Linked DNA regions of Elephas maximus indicus. The protein of the gene in region 1 interacts with the protein of each later gene in a biochemical or structural test. Links are inferred from orthologs where the notes say so. Each region holds a gene or a part of one and is shown on either strand. Other genes may lie near its edges.

Evidence for each region.
Region 2: the proteins of LRRK1 (region 1) and BAG3 form a complex in vitro, tested with the Homo sapiens proteins (2 studies listed by BioGRID and IntAct, with this or other methods). The link is inferred for Elephas maximus indicus from reciprocal best matches to the Homo sapiens genes LRRK1 and BAG3.

What each region holds. Positions count from the first base shown.
Region 1 is NC_064831.1:92,682,576-92,692,617, reverse strand, and holds the start of LRRK1 (leucine-rich repeat serine/threonine-protein kinase 1), read right to left. Parts: upstream 3,907-10,042; 5' UTR 3,817-3,906; intron 3,470-3,816; exon of another isoform or gene 3,180-3,469; intron 1-3,179. Other genes in the region: ALDH1A3 (aldehyde dehydrogenase family 1 member A3), read right to left, coding at 8,857-8,929.
Region 2 is NC_064834.1:70,240,770-70,250,401, forward strand, and holds the start of BAG3 (BAG family molecular chaperone regulator 3), read left to right. Parts: upstream 1-6,051; 5' UTR 6,052-6,493; coding exon 6,494-6,679; intron 6,680-9,632. UniProt on the Homo sapiens protein: Co-chaperone and adapter protein that connects different classes of molecular chaperones including heat shock proteins 70 (HSP70s), e.g. HSPA1A/HSP70 or HSPA8/HSC70, and small heat shock proteins (sHSPs), e.g. HSPB8.

The DNA.
Region 1 (10,042 bases):
GTGGTTAAAGCACTCGGCTCCTAGCCAAGAGGTCAGTGGTTCAAACCACCAGCTTCTCCAAGGGAGGAAGATGTGGCATCTGCTTCCATAAAGTATACAGCCTTGGACACCCCATGGGACAGCTCTACTCTGTCCTATACAGTCGCTGTGAGTCAGAATCAACTCGACGGCAACGGGTTTGAGTTTTTTGGGGTAATCTTTACGGAAGAAGACTGTCACATCTTTCTCCCTAGGAGCCACTGGGGAGTTCAAACCCCCAACCTTTCAGTTAGCAGCTGAGCGCTTAATCACTGCACTACCAGGGCTCCTTTATTACCACATAATGGTTTTAAATTAAAAAAAAAAGTAAAAATCTTAAAAAAATATTTTTGGCTAACCTTCACCCAGCACATTTGTTCCTCTTTTCATTTTCAGTTTCCTTTTGAAAATCACTTTACCGATGGAGGATTTTGCCACTGGAGCAGTTTTTAAACTGTAATTTGTATTTTGGCTTACATTCAAAGGCAGACGTTTTAAGATGAGGTAACACAAGTTTTGCTCAGTCTTTGCCCTCAAGCTGATCTTTGTTTCCTTCTGCTGCTTCTTTCGGGTTCAGACCTAAGCAATAAATCCTGGTGGCAAATAATACTTTTTCTTTTTGTTACAGTATATACATCTTAAAGAGGGCTTCAGGCGCTTTTCAGAAATCATAATTGTTTTAATGGTTTTTTTTTTTTTTAAACCTCACCAATTTCCTTTTGCTAATTCCTTATACTTGCATTATTGAATAAACCTAAATACTTGGTGAAAAAGAAAAAAAGGAACCTATGATTCATTCTACAAATAGTTAGTAACCCTTCTCTGTGAGGAGTCGACTTCATGAGTTCTCGAAACTTACAGTTAATGTAAAGGGAAGACAGTGAAATAAAACCCAGTTGCTGTGGATTTGACCCTGACTCATGGCGACCCCAGGTGTGTCAGAGTGGAACTGTGCTCACAGGGTTCTCAATGGCTGATTTTTCACAAGGGGATGGCCAGGCCTTTCTTCTGAGGCACCTCTGGGTGGACTCAAACTGCAAACCTTTAGGTTGGTAGCTGAGCGCTTACTATTTGGGCGACTCAGGGACTTTACCAAAGAGTGGGAAGACACTGGCAAATGAAGTATATTCGAAATGTTCCTGTAGTCTAGCTTCTTTTTGAATTGATAGTAGTAGGCTGGTCAAGAAGGCTGGTCTATGGTTCTAGGATCCCTTTACCAATATTGGTCTGCCTGCAAAATGTATCTGACAGGTTTGTGAATATCAAAATAACCATGGATCTGCAGGCTGGAGGAGCATATAGCTCTCGATCCCAAATGAGCACCCAAGGATTTGACAACAGAGGCACTTCTTGAGTCCCAAACCACCAGTTAGTGAAGGCTGGTGTCATTCATCATTTCCACCACCCATCTGTCAGTTTGTCTGTGGTGACCTGCATGTTGTTATGACGCTAGAAGCAATGCCACCAGTATTTCAAATACCAGCATGGCCACTCATCGTAGACACATTTCAGCAGTACTTCCAGACTAAGACCGACTAGGAAGAAAGGCCTGGATATCTATTTCTAAAAATTAGCCAATGAAGTTGCTGGAAGGTGAGCTCCCTAGGTTCAAAGAGACTCAAAATACACATTGGCTGCAACCACGGACTCAATACCAACGATCACGAAGATGGTGTAGGGCAGGGCCACGTTTCGTTCTGTTGTACATGGGGTTGCCGTGAATCGGAGCTGTCTCTGGGGCAACGAATAACAACAACAACATTAACCATCTGGTCACTCCCCAGTATGCACTGGGCATCTCCTACGCCAAGAACAGTCCTGGGAGCTGGGGACACGGTGGTTTGCAAGACAGACATGGTCTCTGACCTCAGGAGCCCGCTAATTAAAGAAGAAATTGAAGAGATAAAGAAGGTATACGCAGATAGTGGTGGGCATAAGAACACAGAGATGGGATGGAAGAGAGACTGAGGAGGGGTGTAGAGGGTGGCCGGGGAAGGCCTTCTAAGGCCTCCTGAGGTGTCAGCCACGTGAAGTCAGGGAACAGCAATGTCCATGCCTCATGCTGGCAAACAAGCGCCACCAGGGTGGACGGGGCGGCAGAGGTTGGGGGGATAACATCGATGGCAGTGGCCGGAGCACACAGTGGGGGAGCGGTGAGAGGAAGGAGTTCCTCTGGATTTTATACCAATCACAAGAAGAAGGCGCTACAGGGTTCCATGCACATAGTGACATGATCAGATGTAGCTATCACGGAAATCACTCAAGAATCTTACAAGAGATCCTGACACCTTGGACTAGAGTGGAGGGTGTGTGAGAAAGAAGCGGATAGACCCAGGACACACTTTGGAGGTAGACCCAGCAGGACTTGCTAACGGGAAGAATCCCGGGGACAAGGGAATGGGATGTTCCCAGGGTTAATTCCTAGGCTTCCCTCTGAGCAACTGAGCTATGGGGCCTTCCCCAGGAGATGGAAAGGTTTGGCTCATCCCAAGACCTGTTTTAGGGACATATTAAGTGTGGGGTTTGTATGTTATCAACTCAGTAATTTTTTTTTTTGTTCTAGGACATAAGCAAAGATAATGAAAATAATATAATGAAGACTTTAACTTTAACATTTCCCAAAATCATGCATATTCTAGTTGTCTCTTTAGGATCCTCATACTTTGATACCAACAAGAGTCCTCGTGGCACAATAGTTAAGTGCTTGGCTGCTAACCTGCTAACCGAGACATTAGCAGTTCGAACACACCCATATGCTCCAGGAAAAAAAGGACCTGGTCGTCTGTGTTCATAAAGATTACAGCCTAGAAAATCCTATGGGCAGTTCTACTTTGTCACATGGGTTGCTAGGAGTTGAAATCAACTACATGACATCTACTGACAGCATTAACTTTGATACCATGTGAGTGGGAAACTCTAAAAATCGTCTAATCGTTTGGTGAGGGGCTGGCTAAGAACGTAGCTCCACGCTCCTGATTTCTCCACCTCTCAGACCCCTGCAGACGCCACACTTTGAAAGTTTGTGGGAGAAAACCTTGGTGTGGGCCTCACTAGGCTAAGGGGTAGGTTTGGCTGACCACCTATCTTTCATCTTCTCCATCATCATCTCTCTCCAACCCCCAGCACCCTCCCTAACACCTGCACCCCCGGGTCACACTCACCTCGCCGACCCCAGCACGCTTGGGGAGGTTGCCCAAGCCCACAGAGAAAGCGGATTTAATCGGTATCTGGCCAGAGACGCAACCCTTGGGCAAGAAGAATGCCCCCGACTTTGTGGTGGGTGAAGGCGCGCTGAGCCAACCCGCATCACTGAGGCCGCGGCTAGGAAGAGAGAGTCCTGGGACAGCCCCTTCCCTGCGCACACGCCCTCACAAGCACACGCGCGCGCACACACAAATTCCCCGCTCCAAGCTGTAGAAGGTTTCCTTCAAAGGCAGAGGAAACGTGGATACACCCTGGCGCAATTTCCTACTTTTGTTTCTTGCCGCTGCTCCGTCCGCCCTGGTGCTGTCCGGTGCAGGGCTTCGCACACTCCCACCCCGAGGGCTGGCTTGGGTCCGCGCGCACTGGAGGCCGCGGGGCCGAGAGATGGGGGTTCGCCCGCGCCTCCGTGTCCCGCTCCTCGACCACGATGCCGCCTGGGTCGCAGGGCCGGGCTGCGGGGCCAGGGGCACAGAAGCAGGCAGAGGCCCGAGCACGGGCCAGGGCGAGTGGGAGCCGGCTCTCGGGTCCCCGCCGGGCTGCAGGAGGCGGCTAGGTCCCTGGGCGGGCGGCGGCGCGGGCCCGGGCAGTGCTTACCTGCGGCGGCAGCGGCCGGCGGAAAGGAGGGACGCGGTCGTTCCGGACGCGGGGCTGGGGCGCCCGGGGCAGCCAGGAGGAGACTAGGGGGCCTGGGCCTGGAGGTCCGACCGTCTCCAGCCCCCGCGCCTCGGCCGCGCCGGGACCAGACGCACTTCCTCAATCCTGCGGAGGGCGCTGGGGCGGGCGGCGGGAGGGCGGGCCGGCGGGCGGGCGTCGGCGGCGCAAAAGGCGCGCAGGGAGAGGCTGCCGCGCGCCCAGGGTCTGGGCGCTGCTGGCTCTCACGGTGTGGGGACGAGGCGCCCCGGGGTGCCCCGCCTCAGTTTCCCTAGTCGTTAAACCTAGGTGGCCAAATTTCTTACTCCCTGCCCCGGGAAGGTGACAGGCTCCGGGGAGCCTTCTAGGGTGGAGTCCTCCTCCGAGTCCGCTGGTGCACGCGGGAAGGCGAAGAGAAAATTAGTTCTCGGCTTCACCCAGCTTGCCCTGTCCCTCTACTCTGCTCTGCACCCAAATCGGCGAATTAACTCTAACTTGCGTGTTGGCCATATTCTCTGGCAGTAAATATGAAAAATACGGAAATTCCCTTGTGTACATCCCTTCTACAGGGCAAAGATGAGTATTTTGTAAGCTTTAATATTTTGCAAACTGCTCCTCTCCTACATGAATTTAACTGATTTAATTACGGATGTATGCAAACACACAACTATTTGATGGATCGTTTTTAATGGCTTATTTTGTTTGTAGGTAAAACGTGGTGGAATAACGACAACTTTCTTTCACCCTAACGTAAGGATGTCCGTCACACCATTGAGGCTCATACGCCAACGCAGGCTTCAGATCAGGCTCTGCGTGTTCACTGAGGGCAGAGAAGCCCGCTCAGAAAAACCTATCAATGGACGCCCTGTAAGGGCCAGCCCCATAGGCTCCTCTCATGTAATGTAATGATGGGAACATTCCCAGGATTTAGCGCAAAGCGCAACGATAAACGGCTACGACCCTCGCTGCCATTTCACAGAAACCGGAGCAGCCATAGGGCCCTGGCTCGACGTGACGGACACCCCGCGTAGTGGTCCCTTATAGCGGCTGGTGGGGGCCCCTGGTTGGCGAGGGAACCACTGGTCAGCTTTGCTCTGCTCTCCGGAGACTGCCTTCAGAACTGACGGCCACGCGGCGCCTTTTCAGTTTTGCAATTCTATCCCCACCACTGGGGTCTTAGTATCATATGCTAGGTCATCAGTATGACTGCCACCGAAAAGTCCCTAATAATTTGCAGGACTTGGCGTGCGCTGTGCTGAGTGAGCCCGGCGTAGGCGGGGAGGCGCCTCCCCGGCGAGGCCCCGCCACCTAGCGACGCAGTGATGAAGCGCACGATCCTAGCTGGTGACCCTGGAGCGGACTGGACCAACACCCCCCCCCAAAAAAAAAACCAGGGGAGGATTATTTCACATTTTTTCACCACATCAAAGTTTCTGCTTCCAGGTATGGCTGGCATCTGTCCCTCTTTCAACACCATAGCACCTTCCCACAGAATCAAAACCTCTTTTCAAATTTACAGTCCCTGACAGGGTCGGATGACCCAGTAAGCAAGGTAAGCACCAGTTTACTTGTGTTTACTTACTAATCTGTAGTGAACAATCAAAGATATGGTGAAACCCATGAGAAATTGTTCACTACAGATGGTCTGGTAAGAAAGATAAATACTGTGCTTACCTTGCCTATTAGGTAATCCACCCTGCCAACACCTGCAGGGTCCACTCAACTTCCCTGTTAAATGAGCTTGGAGACAGGCTAAAAAATGGTCCCAACATGAAAAGCAGCTGACATTTGACACTCAGATATCCTATTTTGAGCTAGTTATATCCTGGCATTCAACTCAACTCTATGCATTAGGCATGAGTCATAGGTTCCCATAGAAGGCTATTACAGGTCAGTTAAGATTCCTTTTGGCTTCTTCTTGGATCCCACTGGCCCATGTCCTCTAGCTTGTACTCAGCATCCTACCCAGATTTTCAGCACCTCAGAATGGAATGGCCCGCCTAAGGTGGGTCAGCCGGAAGCTGCCTCCAGAAACTTCGGTTTCTGCCTTCTGAAGGCACAGTGGCAGGCTGTTCCCTCCATGTCTTCTAGCTATGTTTCTTCAGTGTGGTACTCAGTTTCCTCAGATGTTTCTCCATGGATGCTTTTAAAAAAATGTCCCTCACTGTCCCGGTCACCTTCAAACTCAAGTTAGCCATATGGGTAAGAGCAAGGACATTCAAAAGGCTTCAGATACCATCAGGAGGAGCAAGGGTACACCAAAGGGGCCACTGTTAGAGAACGTGCCTCCCCCTCACTCATCCCACAGGCACACAAGTGCACACACATGCACCATGGCCCACCTATTGTCCCCAGGATGGTTCTCTTCAGGGAGCAATACACTGGTAAACCAAAATGAAATAAAATGTCATTTTACCATAATTTTCTGCTCACACCTGGATTGAGAAGCGGGATATTTCTAAATGCATATGTATTTTAAGAGGGATCAGATTCGTTTTCTCTTAAAGGAGCTGTGCTTTGTCAACACACGGCAAGAGTGATTTAGATTTTCAACATTATGTGTACAGGCTGAGCTCAGGGGACCTAACCAAGTACAAGGAGTGTTCTTGATCCAACTTCAGTGACAGCTCATGACTTGGTGATTGAGGCTTCTTGGTTAGAAGTCTTAGAAACGTTAGGTAAATTAAACACAAGCACCTAGATCCTTGTGAAGAAAGTGATAAAAACAGACACTTAGACACACAACTGGGGACATGGTATTTTCACTAAATTTCTCTTGTGATCTTCCCCACCACTTTCCACACTCATGGCAAATGTCCTCATCACTTTATACTAAAAAGAGACTCGGGCAGCTCAGGTGACCAGTCTAAAGTTAGCCAATTAAGACAGAGAGACAGTGAAGCCAGGCTCCCTGCCTGGTTGACTCCAAAACCGATAGGAATGGGTTTCACGCTCAGGCAAAGCACTAGGCCTGATCGATTGAGCAAGGGGACTTGTAGCCTCAGTTACTGACCCTGCTTTGTTACAAGACATTTTGTACAGAAGACCCAGGAAAGAGGGGTCAGCCACAGAATTAAAAGGGATTGAGTTCTCAAATGAAAACAGAACAAAACACAACATAATGTTTCTCAAATACCTAAGTTTATTTTATCATTGTTGCATTGTTGAGCTCAATCTGTAGGTAGGAGCCGAATTTCCAGGCTGATACATTTTTAAACCATACCACAGTGGTAAACCTTTAAAAAAGTGAAATCAAACAGGATATAGATTTCCATTTCTAAATACAGTATATTACAGAAGGTTAAATATACCACCTCTGTGTACTTACAGCTATAAAAAGATATAATTAACTATACCAAAACCCATTGGTGTCAAGTCGATTGCAACTCATAGCGACCCTATACCAATCGTAATTAATGTAGAGTTTCATATTAAAGGCATTATTGTACAATGGAAGAAAAAGAACCTCCAAGGCATTACTATCGAGGTTAGTGTCTATAGTTAGTTGAGATAAAATCCTGACGATTCAGTGTAAGAAGTCTAATCCTGACCTAACAAGTGAATTGTTAATGTAAGTGTTAACTGATGGAGAGAAGGTGAAGTACACATTGCATATTGCTCACGAGGATGATAACCCCATTTCCTGCGTGATTTTCTTTATACACACAGGTTGTGACATGGAGCTTCATCTTATCACTGTGCTCACGCCAATGAATTGTCAAGCACAAGCACCATTTTTCCCATTAGAAAATGACTAGTTAGTAACAGTAACAGTGTCCGAATAACACAATTTAAGTTTGGTTTTGTTTTTTTAAAGCTCTATGGAAACACCTTCCGTTTTCCAAGTCAAAGTTGATGGGATTGCACACCCTTTGGATACACAAAGAGGAAAAGAAAACTTCACAACCTGTTATAAAGTACTCAGACCACTTGGATTTAGTAGGAGACCCAGGTCCTCCAGGGAGCCCATGTCTTATCTGTTAATTACTCAGAAATTAACATCAAAATAGGACTTTGAAAAAGCAGGTCTATATTATGACAGTCGTCTTTCCAGTTCCGTATGTTTTCCTAATCTAAACCGGGTAACAGAACTGGAAAAAGGATAAGTATGTAGGCTTATCATAAACCATTAAGGAGTGTAGTAGAAAGGCAGAATTCCTAAAATGAATTATTGCTTTGGTGTGTTTGTAAAATGTGGAACTTAATTACCGGGGGATTCGCTGTGCTGTTGGAGGGTCAGAGCGTTGGCTCCTTAGCAGCAAAGGCGATAGAACTTTTTTTTTTTTTTGCCTAAGAAAGTGCCTTGGTTAAGATAGACAATGACACATTTTTAGAATATGCTCTTTGGGCTACGATTTGGTCAGATTCCAAAGGCAGTATTGTTTTTATAAGCTGAGTGCCGTGGTCACTAAATATGCAGACCTCAAAGACCCTCACCCACACATGCCCACAACCCCCAAATCTCCGCCCATCAGATCCTTGCAGCCTTTTTTTTTTTTTTAACTTAGTGTTAATGCTTTTCCCACTGCATGGTACCGTCAGCCCTCCCCCAGAAAGAGAGGCTTGTTCTGTGGACAGGTGAACCTGAGGAGACCGTAGGTGCAGGGCTCTGCTGGCGGAACATGCAGGGAGTTTTTCCAAATTCTTACTAGAGTCAGATTCAGCAACACATTTTTCAGGAGCTGCTGGCCACTGCAAGTACCACTTCCTGTTAACAGTGCCCTGAGCATCTTCACTGTCCGCTGGTACCCAGTTTAAAGGGCAAAACAGAAATGGCCAATAGCGCCATCCCCAGGCAGGAACGCAATTTTGCACAACATACGGGCATCCACAGCTTGATCAATAAAACTTAGCGTGGGAGGAGAAGAGGCATTCAAATCCAGCAGATTGAAAGCTTCCAGAAGAAAGTGTCACAAAAAGGTCAGAAATGTCATTTTTTTCTTCGGCAAGTGTAATCCGCCACATTCAGTTGTCAAATGTTGGAGGAAGGACCCTGCCTTCCCTTCAGTGGTTCTTGTCGTCCAGTTTGATGGTGACGGTTTTCACTTCTGTATATTCGCTCAGAGCATATTCACCTCTGTGATCACGGAAAAGAGAAAGATTCAAAAGGAGAGCCTTCCTTAGCCTTTCCATGGAAACTGTTCTAATGCATTATTGTGGCTCTGTCGGGAGTTTATACAAAAGGCCAAATTTATGCATAAATTTGGAATTTATGCAAAAGGCCAAAATGTGATTTCTTGATAGAATAAGTCAGTTAGAGTAACACCAATAGTCAGTTTGAGTGATTGAATATGTAACTTTAAGTTTAAATATCAAGGTTTTTGTGTATGATGCTTTCAAATATTCAGAAGGAATAAGGGTTTCCCTTTGAAGAATGAAGGCAATTAAAAACAGAGAGAGGTACATTCCCAGGGTAGGAGGAGCAGAGCAGAGGAGGAGAGGGCCTGCATGGGGGAACAAAAGGAAGCTGGGAATGGAAATTACACTGGGTTCATAATTTTTGGATGGCAGTTTGGAGCCACTGGGAGAGCTAGAAGAGGCAGCGACCCAAGGCTATTGACCACGGATGTGGCTAGAGGACTCAAGAGCAGCAAAGACATGGGGCCTGAAGTTGGCCTTGGAGCCCACAGCTGGGAACCAGCTGTGAGAAGACGGAGGCCGGACGGGGGCAGTGAGGGGAGAGGTCACCACAGACCAGACACAAGGGAGACAGTGTGTCTAGCATATCTAGGGTATTGCACTGGCCCTGGGCGTGGGGCACCACTGAGCAGTTTCTGTTAACCCAATACAGCCCAGTGTCCTTCCTCACGCCTGGTAATGTGTTAATTAACTTGAGCTGATATTATGGTGAAGTTATCTAAAAGAGAGGGGTCAGATGTTTGGATGGGGCACAATTTCAGTGTGGGCCATAGGCGCCATTTTCCATAGATCCACTGCTGGCCGTACCAGGTTAGTAGAAACTTCTCAGTGGTGCCACACAGCCAGGGCCGGTGCAATACCTGCCACACCTGTCATACCCTAGTTACGCCTCTGTTATGCATCCTGGTACATCTCCTCTCTCTTAGTCTCAGAGCCCTGGTGACCCTACTTGGGCATCATGGGCCATCTCAGGGCAGTTTTCAGTTCCAGAACTGAGAGGCGGCTTTGGATAGATTAAATTCCTCAACAGCATTTGCTCTGATGTTAAGTC
Region 2 (9,632 bases), on another chromosome or scaffold:
GCCAAAGGATCTCAATTTTTCAAATGTGCTGGTTCGATGACCCAGCAATTCCACTTGCAAGCATTAACAGACACACTCGTGCGTCCGTGCACAGTGACTGATGTGTGCAGGGGAATGTGTGCTGCAGCGTTGTTTGTAATGGCAGGAGGCTGGGAACCACCAGAAGGACTAGCAATAGGCTACCCTTGAATAAATTATAGCGATCCCTGCAATAGAGCAGTGCGCAGCCACTTACAAGAGTAAGGAAGCTCTTACGGACTGATGGAAATTTTATGCTGTTAAGTGAAAGGTGTCAGGTGGAGGGCAGCGTGCCAGGTGTGCTAGCATTTGTGAATAAGCACGCTTACATTGGTAAATGCACAGAGCACCCCTGGCAGAACACCCAGTGACGTAAGGATACTGATCAACTCTAAGCAGACAACTGGGAGGCTAGGGAACCTTAGAAGGAGGAATATTCATTTTTTCACTGAATAACCTTTTGTGCCTTTGGACTTCAGTATCGTGTGGGAGTATTACCAATTTGAAAAAACATTGAACACAAATGTCCATTTCTCCCTGAAGCAGCAAAAGGCGCAGGGGTGTTTAGCTTTATAGTTAAGCACAGACTCAGACAGACCTGGGTTCAAATCCTGGTTCTACCTGCTGGTCAGCTGTGTGAACTTCGGCAAGTTAGTCAACATCTCTAAGCCTGTTTTCTCATCCATGAAATGGCTTTATTAAAAGCCTATGCCTCCAGCTGGAACAAAGAGTGAGAATAGTTGTATATCTTGAAGAATGTAAGCAATGTCACTGAATTGTACGTGTAGAAATTATTAAATTGGTATATGTTCTGCTGTGTATATTTTCAACAACAACAAAAAAAATTACTTTTAAAAGATGTGAAGGGAGAGTAAAGACTTCTTTTGATTAAAAAAAAAAAAAAAAAAGCCTGTCCCTTAAGGTTACTAAACCAAAAAACCACTGCCATTGAGTAGACTCATAGCGACCCTATAGGACAGTGTGGAACTGCCCCGTACAGTTTCCAAGGAGCACCTGGGGGATTCAAACTACTGACCTCTTGGTTAGCACCGTGGCACTTAACCACCACACCACCAGGATTTCCGTTCCTGGGGTTACTACGTGGAATAAATGAGATCAGGTCCTAATGTGTTCAGCACAGTGCCTGATATTAAAACAATTAGCTTTTAATGCTGGAGTCCCCACTTCCATGGATCCTGCCATCCTTTCAGGAAAGAACATGAACAGTTAAATAACAAAACAAGATAGTTTATGATTAAAGACCCAGATGCCTGGTACAGGGTGTACCTGCCATGTGAGGTCAGAGAGCGCAGACTTTAACTTTTAATAACAAACAGATGCAAAGTTAGTGCTGAAATCCTAAGCTCTGCTGCTCTGCCAGGTTCTGATTTTTTCACCTCTATAGTTGGAATCCACCAGGCGCTCCTTGGAAACTCTACGGGGCAGTTCTACTCTGTCCTATAGAGTCCCTATGAGTCGGAATCGACTCGACAGCAGTGGGTTTGGTTTTTGGTTTTTTTGACAGGGTGTATTTAGGGTTATCATCGAAGTCTCCATAGCATAATCAGAGCAGACATCACTTCTCTCCCAATGCACTTGACCATCAGAACATTCTAGAGAGGCCATTGCTCACATCCAGTTGGCCCTGGCCTCCCCTTGTCCAGGCTGCCCAGAGTAGAAGGGTCCACCTGGAAAGTATGCTTGGCAGCATGGGCTGGTCCCTGATAACACCCCAAAGACATGCAAAAATGACTTTCAGGTTCAGCTTGGGGTGAATGGTGCTTTCGCTCAGATTGAGGAGAACTGGCTGTTCTGCTCTGCCAGCTCATGTGTTCCACGGGAGATGGATTAAATCATCCAGATTTTCATCCAGACACTGAATGAAAGCTTTCGGGTGACATTTTCATTTAAAACTCACCATTGTAGGTGGGCTGGAGGCCCGGTCTGCGACCTGTGCTGGGACTCCGCCAGTCTCTTAAACCCTGTTCACAGGATTGATCTGTAATCCTCCATGGCAGGGCCTGTTGCTGCCCTTGTTTCTTCAGCATTGAGAAAAATATGTGCACGAACCTGGATTTTTGAATTACAGTTTTTAATTTGTTTCCCTTGGTGATGAACAGGACTAAACAATCAGGTCACGTATCATATTTATTGAGTGCCTGGCTGTGTGACTTGGAGCAGGTTACTTCACTTCTCCAAACCTTAGTTTCTTCACCTATAAAAGGAGAATCATAATAACGCCTACATCGTAAGGTTGTTGAGAGAACTGTCCTATGTTTGGTTCCCCAGGAAGCAAACGCCAAGACAAGGTAGCAAGCAGGTTGCTTATTAGGGAGTGCGGAGGGCAGGAAGCAGGATTGGGCAGAGGGAGGAGTTGAGCTGTGATGTAATCCCAAGGAAAGCCATCAGCCAGCCCTGGAGCTGGGATTGCCTTTCAGAACTATCCTTAGTTGGGACAAAGGGTCGGGGCTTTTTATACCCCTTGGTAGATCAGTCATTCCACCATCAGTTTGTCAGCTTGCCATACTGCTATGGCTTGTGTGCTGCTGTGATGCCGGAAGCTGTGTCACTAGTATTTCAAATACCAGCAGGGTCACCCATGGTGGACAGGTTTCAGTGGCACTTCCAGACTAAGACAAGGAAGAAAGGCCTGGCGATCTACTTCCAAAAATGAGCTAATGGAAACCTTATGGATCACAGCAGAATATCGTTTGATATAATGCTGGAAGATGAGCCCGCCAGGTTGGAAGGCACTACACAATAGCTGCAACAGTGGACTAAAAAATACCAACAGATCATGAGGCTAGTGCAGGACCGGGCTGTTATACACAAGGTCCTGTGAGTTGGAGCTGACTCGACCGCAAGTAACCACAACAACAGATCAGTCATTGGATGCGGGTTGCCCCTGGAAGGAGGTATGACCTTGGAAAAGGCAATTTTCTCCAGCTGAGCCAATTCTCAAAGGGGACTAACAGCTGAGAGAGGTCTTCCTGTATTGTTCTTGGCAGGTAGGGAATAAGACCCTTATTCCTGGAAGGGGATCTGGGCAGCTCATCCCAGCCTCCACCTCAAAGATGAAATGAAACAACTAACATAAAGTCCTTAACACACAGTACCTGGATTACAGTAAGCGCTCAATAAATGGTAGCCATTACAACTGTTAGCGTTGTGCTAGATGCTGGGGATACAGTGGTGATCAAGATTCCGCTCCCGCCTTCCAGAAAACTTGATCCATGAGCACATCAGATGATCCAATAAGCAATTTCCATGTGGTGTAATTGATAGGGTGGCAAAGGATTTATATGGGAGCACTTAGAAGGGACACATGACCTAGACTAGGAAGGCGGAGGTGAGTGATGTTGAAGACGATACCTGAAAATGAAGAGAAGTCAGCCAGGCAAAAGGAATGGGAGGAGCTGGAATGGGTGTGGCTCTATAGATGTAAAGATAAAAAAAAAGATGTATAAAAAAAATGTATAGGTGAATTAAATTAAGACTGACCTCAAGGCATACACTAGGCGTGGTTTTTGAATTATTCACACGTATCAGCTCACTATCCCATTCACTCAACGAGGATTTATGAAGCATCTTTATTCAATATGTCAGACAATGGACTAGGTGCTGATATCGGGATGAATGAAAGCCAACTCCTGTCTCAAGGAGCTCACAGTCCAGCAGAAGACGTCAAGGTAATTAATTCCGAACTGTTCAACAGGCTGTTAAGGCAGAGGGAAGGGCAGCGACCTCAGACTGGTGGTATGGGGCTGTTTTTCTCACAAAAAGTAGAGAAATTCTAAACAGTCAAGATTTTGAGTTAGTTGATTTGATAAGTAATCACTGAGATGGCTCCAGGCAGCAAGCTTAGACAACTCTTCCCAAGTCTCTTTCTGTAAAATTTATATTTATTGAAAGCACCGTGGCTGGGAGGTACTGTGATTCGCTCTTCGAGGAGAGACTGGATGGAGAGCAGAAATCCTCATTTGTAGAAGGGATCTATGGTCATCTGGCTACACCCTTCTGGCCTATGAAAAGTGGCTAAGGCTGACGGGAAAGTCTGAGCACAAGTCAAGTTCACTGCCCAAAACTCAGAGGATTAACACCTGAGTCTTGTTCTTATTGCTAGTTTTTTGTTCATTTGGTTCTAAGGCCTCCACTGAGCTAAATCACCTGCTTCTGGACAAAGACAAAGTCTTTTCTTATCATGAGGAATCTGTAATAAGACAGACATGCTACTCATTATTCAGCATGGCTCAGAGGGGCTTCTTCCAATCAGCTCTCCAAGACTCAGGGCTCTGCTTTAGACAAACCTATTTGAAATCCCTGGAGGACTACAAAGGAGGCCCGATGGTGCAGTGGTTAAGCGTTTGGCTGCTAATGGAAAGGTCAGCAGTTTGAACCCAACAGCCACTCTGTGAGAGAAAGATGTGGCAATCTGCTTCCCCAAAGATTTAAAGCCTTGGAAACCCTACGGGGCAGTTCTACTCTGTCCTACAGGATCCGACTATGAGTTGGAATTCGACTGAATGGCAATGGGTTTGGTGTTTGGTTTGGTGGAGTACAGTCCTCAGAAGCAGCTATGTTATTCCCAGAGGAACCTCCTTCCTCTCTGCTTCTATCAAAAAAAAAAAAAAAAAAAGGCCAGTGAAGAATGCTCTCAGTGCTTAAACTGTAGTTGTAGTGGAAAGTAAATTGAACAAATGAAGAAAATAGAAATACAAATTCACTTTGAGTTTGATTTTCAATGAACATAAACATTTATTGAATATGGGCTCTGGGCGGTGTCCTGTGTTCAGGACATCGGATGCAAGAAAGCATAAGACACTGACAGGTCAACTTGAGGGCCCAGTTTCTTCAACAGTAATTTTCTTTTGGTAAATTAATGCACTGCCATTGGGGTTTATACATCAGTCTCTTGTGTGTTTGGTTACCTGAGTCAGTGTCTGGGGTCTAATCACCTTTCTGTTTTCAGGAAAATGAGTTTTTTTTTTTTTCCCATTCAAAGCCGATAAGTATACTTTTTAAAGTGGGTATCATTCCTTTGGAAATGATTGGCAGGCCTCCTTAGGGGTCATTTGAGGGCAGGAAGAAACAAGAGGTGTTTCTGAGGGCTACAGACCTATTCTCTGAATTTGAGTTGGAAACTGGGCCTAACATTATTCCAAGGCAGCTTCTCAAACTTTCTGGGAAGGCATTGAGTCGACATGCCTAGAGGTCTAAATTGGAACCTCCTTAACATTCTCTCTGTGGGACGCAGACCTCCCAGGGGAGCCAGGGCGTTCTGTTGAAGTTACAAGTGCAACCACCATTGAATCAACCAAACAGAAAATTTTAATTGTACGTTTTGGTCTCTACTTTCCAAATGAAGGTCAAGCTTTAAGATTTCACCTTTCACTCTCCTAGCAAGAACCTCTACCATAAATAACGATCAAAACCCAAAAGAATGTGATCTTTAAAGTTATTCACCGCAATTAAAGTTTCTGTATTTGAGATATGACGTTCGAGGAGAATAAAACCATCGGCTGGAGCAATCTTTTTTCCTTCTTTAGGTTTCAGAAGGCAGGCAGGTGAGTTCCCACTGCGGCTCCATCTTCTGCCCGGCTTTGTTCAGTGTCCAATCAACGTTCCAGACCACCCCCTCCCCAAACAGCCCTCAAGCTCCATGAAAGAAAGTGATTAAAACGTAACTGAGCGACGCCCCTGTTCCCAAATACCGGTGTGTCGGTGGCGGAGGGGGGGCGGAAGGACCGTAACATCTCCAGCTCAAAACGACTTTAAAGGCTAACGATGACTTTGTTTTTATGAAAAGAAGGGGCAGCAGCCGCACGGCGCGCGGACTCCCAGTCCGGGGACACCCACGCGACGCGCAGGGGAAGGAGCGAGTCTGAAACCCGAAACCCGCCCGGGGACCCCAGGCAACGCCCTGGGGGCTCGCACGGCCTGGGTGCGCCCCGCGGCCCTCTCGGGGAGGGGTGGGGGAGGGGAGTCCGGCCTGGCCCCGCCCCGCGCGCCACGATTATAGCCGATGACTCAGGGCGGAGCTCCGCATCCAAGCCAGGCCGCCGCCAACTTCTCTGGATGGGACCAGAAGTTTCTAGCCGGCCAGTTGCTGCCTCCCTTTATCTTCTCCGTCCCCTTTGGCAGCAAGGAGGCTATTTCCAGACACTTCCACCCCTCTCCGGCCACGTCACCCCCTCCTTTAATTCATAAAGGTGCCCGGCGCCGGCCTCCCGGACACGTCGGCGGCGCAGGACTCAGGCTCCGGCGGCGGAGAGGTCCCCGCGGCGGCGGCCCAGCATTTCGGCGCCTGGAGGCCCGGCACCGCGCGAGCCCGCACCCCGCGACCCGGCACCCAGTTCTCTGGCACCCCGTGACCCGGCACCGCGCACTCCGGCACCCCGTGACCCGGCACCCCAGCACCCCGAGACCCCGCTCTCCGGCACCCCGGCGGCCGCCCTCCGGGCCGACCCCGACAAGCATGAGCGCAGCCACCCACTCGCCCATGGTGCAGATGGCGTCCGGCAACGGCGCCGGCGACCGCGACCCCCTGCCCCCGGGCTGGGAGATCAAGATCGACCCGCAGACCGGCTGGCCCTTCTTCGTGGACCACAACAGCCGCACCACGACGTGGAACGACCCGCGCGTGCCCCCCGAGGGTCCCAAGGTGAGCTGGGCCCGCGTCCCCTCCCTGGCCGGCGGCCCCACCTCGATGACAGGCGGGGCCGCAGCGCCGGGGCTGAGCCTCTGCCTGTGCCCAGGCCGGGAGGTCGGTGGAGGCCACCTCGGCGGACGCACAGCCCTCGGGGTGACAGCCCTCCCTGTCCTCCCCGGGGTCGCCCGGCCCCTCGAGCTCGTCCTGCCGCGCTTAGGGAGGCCCCTCCGGATACGCCCTTGACAGGCGTCGGGGCGAGGGCGAGGCCCCGGAGGCGACAGTCCCCACCGCGCCGCATTTAGTTTTGGGGGACGGGGGTGGCCCGGGCCCGTCCACTGGGTCGAGTCGCGAGGCGGGGCGGGGGGAGGGGGGAGCTGGCCTGGGGCCTGGTGCACCGAGGCCCCGTCCGTCAGGCCCCGCCGCAGGCGCCTCTGCCCGCCCGGCTTCTGTCCCCAGATCCTCAGCCGGGGGACCGAGGGGCCGCTCGCACACTCGGGCGGTGGTCTTGAGGACTTTGCTTCTTTAAGGCCCACAATTTGGCTGAGGGGGTCTCCTGACTTTACTCTCTCGTCTCGGGGACAGAGTGACTCAGGAGGCTGGTGTAAATACACAAGTTTTTTTTTTCTGTTTTTGAAATTGAAATTGTTTTATCGTGTGGAGTTGTTTTCAATAAGAATGTGTTCTAGTTTGACTTCTTAAAAACAGTATACTCTTAAGGCAGTTTCTACCCAAAGCCCTGAGAATGTCGCTCCTAGTTGTCCCTCGCCTTAAAACATTGCCTCACGCTGGAGAGACAGCCAATGATTTTTTTTTTTTAACGGCATACATTCCCTTACTTGTTATGCTATTAAAATGTTTAGGATTTGTTTCCAATACACAAATATAACTAAATAGTAATAATTTGGTAAGGAGCCCTGGTGGCGCAGTGGTTTAAGCGCTCAGCTGCCAACGGAAAAGTCTGCAGTTCCAACCCAGCAGCGGATCCAGTGGAGAAAGAGGGGCAGTCTGCTTCCGTAAATATTTACAGCCTTGGAAACCCTATGATGCTGTTCTACTCTGTCCTGTAGGGTCGCTATGAATCAGAATCAACTCCAGGGCAGTGGCTTAATACTCTGTGAATACCACAATATTCCTTGTTTACATACATGCAAGGATTTATACTTCTCAACCCTTAAGAGCATGAAAATTTGAAAATATAAATTTGGAATGAGTCTGTTAATTTAAAAAAATTGTAATTAAATGTGCCACTCTTGTAATTTTCTATAAATTTGAAATTTTTCAGAATAAGTTTTTGAAAAATAAATATACTTAGACAAAGGGTAATTGTTAATACTGTCTGTGCAGTGAAAAACTGGTAAATTATTTTGAAGATTTTAAAAACTCACATAAAGTTCAAAATGCTTTATAAATCAGTATTTCAGACGAAAGACCTGAATGTCCCACCTTCAGTTTTGGGCACTTTTTTGCCCACAGATACTGATAAAACTGTTGTGCCCAACAGCGAGACGTACATTCAGCAATTTACGTTTACAAGGAATTAGTTGTATATTTATTTCTGAAAATTACTCCACAAGGCTGTAATTAGCTGGAGTGGACGTAATTGTGTATACCTTTTGGTGTGCCTGTTCAGCCCCATTAATGGGTGAAATTTATGTCGCTGTCAAGCCAGTTCCTGTGACTGCAGTCAGCATGGCTGCAGAAGACCTTTAGTATGCTATAAAGCTATTATTTTGAGGCCTACTTCCTATAGAGGCCGACTCTGCCGGCAGCCTTTGTCCTGAGTGAAGATCAAGTTGGAACACACACTGTGAGTGCAGTCAGTATAAGACCCAAATTGCCAGCGCTTTGTTTTCAACATGGAACTCACCTGGCTAGTTGGGATTGCCTGCTTGCTTTGCTTCATGGACCCGCCCCTAGGGTGGATGGATTATGACTGTGGTTTCATAAAGCTTTTTAAGGGGGGGACAAGTTGAATTACTATTTCCAAAAAAATAGAAAATAAAAGCTACTGAGTCAGAAGTCTGACAATGGAAACAGAATTTTAAAGTTGAAAGGCCCTTAAAGATCGTATAGTTCAGCCTCTTTATTTTCCTGGTAAAGAAACCCAGAGAGTTACGGTAGGCTTCTCAAGGTCACTCAGCTAGTGCTAATAGCAAAGAGAGAACTATACCAAAAAGCCTCCAGTTTCTAAGAACAAAAAAATGGTTCACAGCCCTAATGAGAGAGAAGGTAGAAGTGTCTTGAATCTTTATGAAGCTGTGAAGCATGAAAGTTAAAAACTTGATTATCTTTGTGTCGTGCCATCCACCGAGTACAGGATTACCAACCTCTGTACCCTGGTTGCTCGGGATGGTGGTGACTGGATGTGATTAACTCAAGAAAAGCACCGTTTATCAAATGCGCTGCTTGAGATTTGGCAGCAGCATGGCACCAACCCTAAGGACAAAACGAATGTGCAGTCCACGAGCCGTTTGGGCTTCCTTGCTTTCAGAAAGCCTGTGCTTTTGATATACCAGAATATCTGGGTGACTAACTCAGTTTCAGGAGTCCCGGAGGCCTGCAATGGTTAAAGCACTCAGCTGTTAACAAAAAGAATGGCGCTTTGAGTCTACCCAGAAGTGCCTTGAAAGAAAGGTGTGGCGAGCTACTTCCAAAAACTCAGCCACTGAAAACCCTAGGGAGCAGAGTTCTAAGCTGACCCACGTGGAGTCACCATGAGTCGGAATCAACTCAACAGCAACTGTTTTTTTTTTTTTTTTTTTTAATTCAGTTTCACTTACATGAATTTCACTTTACTCCAGGTGAAATACAATGGGAAATTTTTCAGTATTATTTTATGTTAGAAATTGGTTTCTTAATGCACAGTGAGAAAGGATTCTGGCATAAAGCAAAGCGCAGATTTGGGGGGAGCAGAGTCCGCCCCCACCCCCAGCACCCTCACCTTGAAGAGGAAATGTGCTGAGCA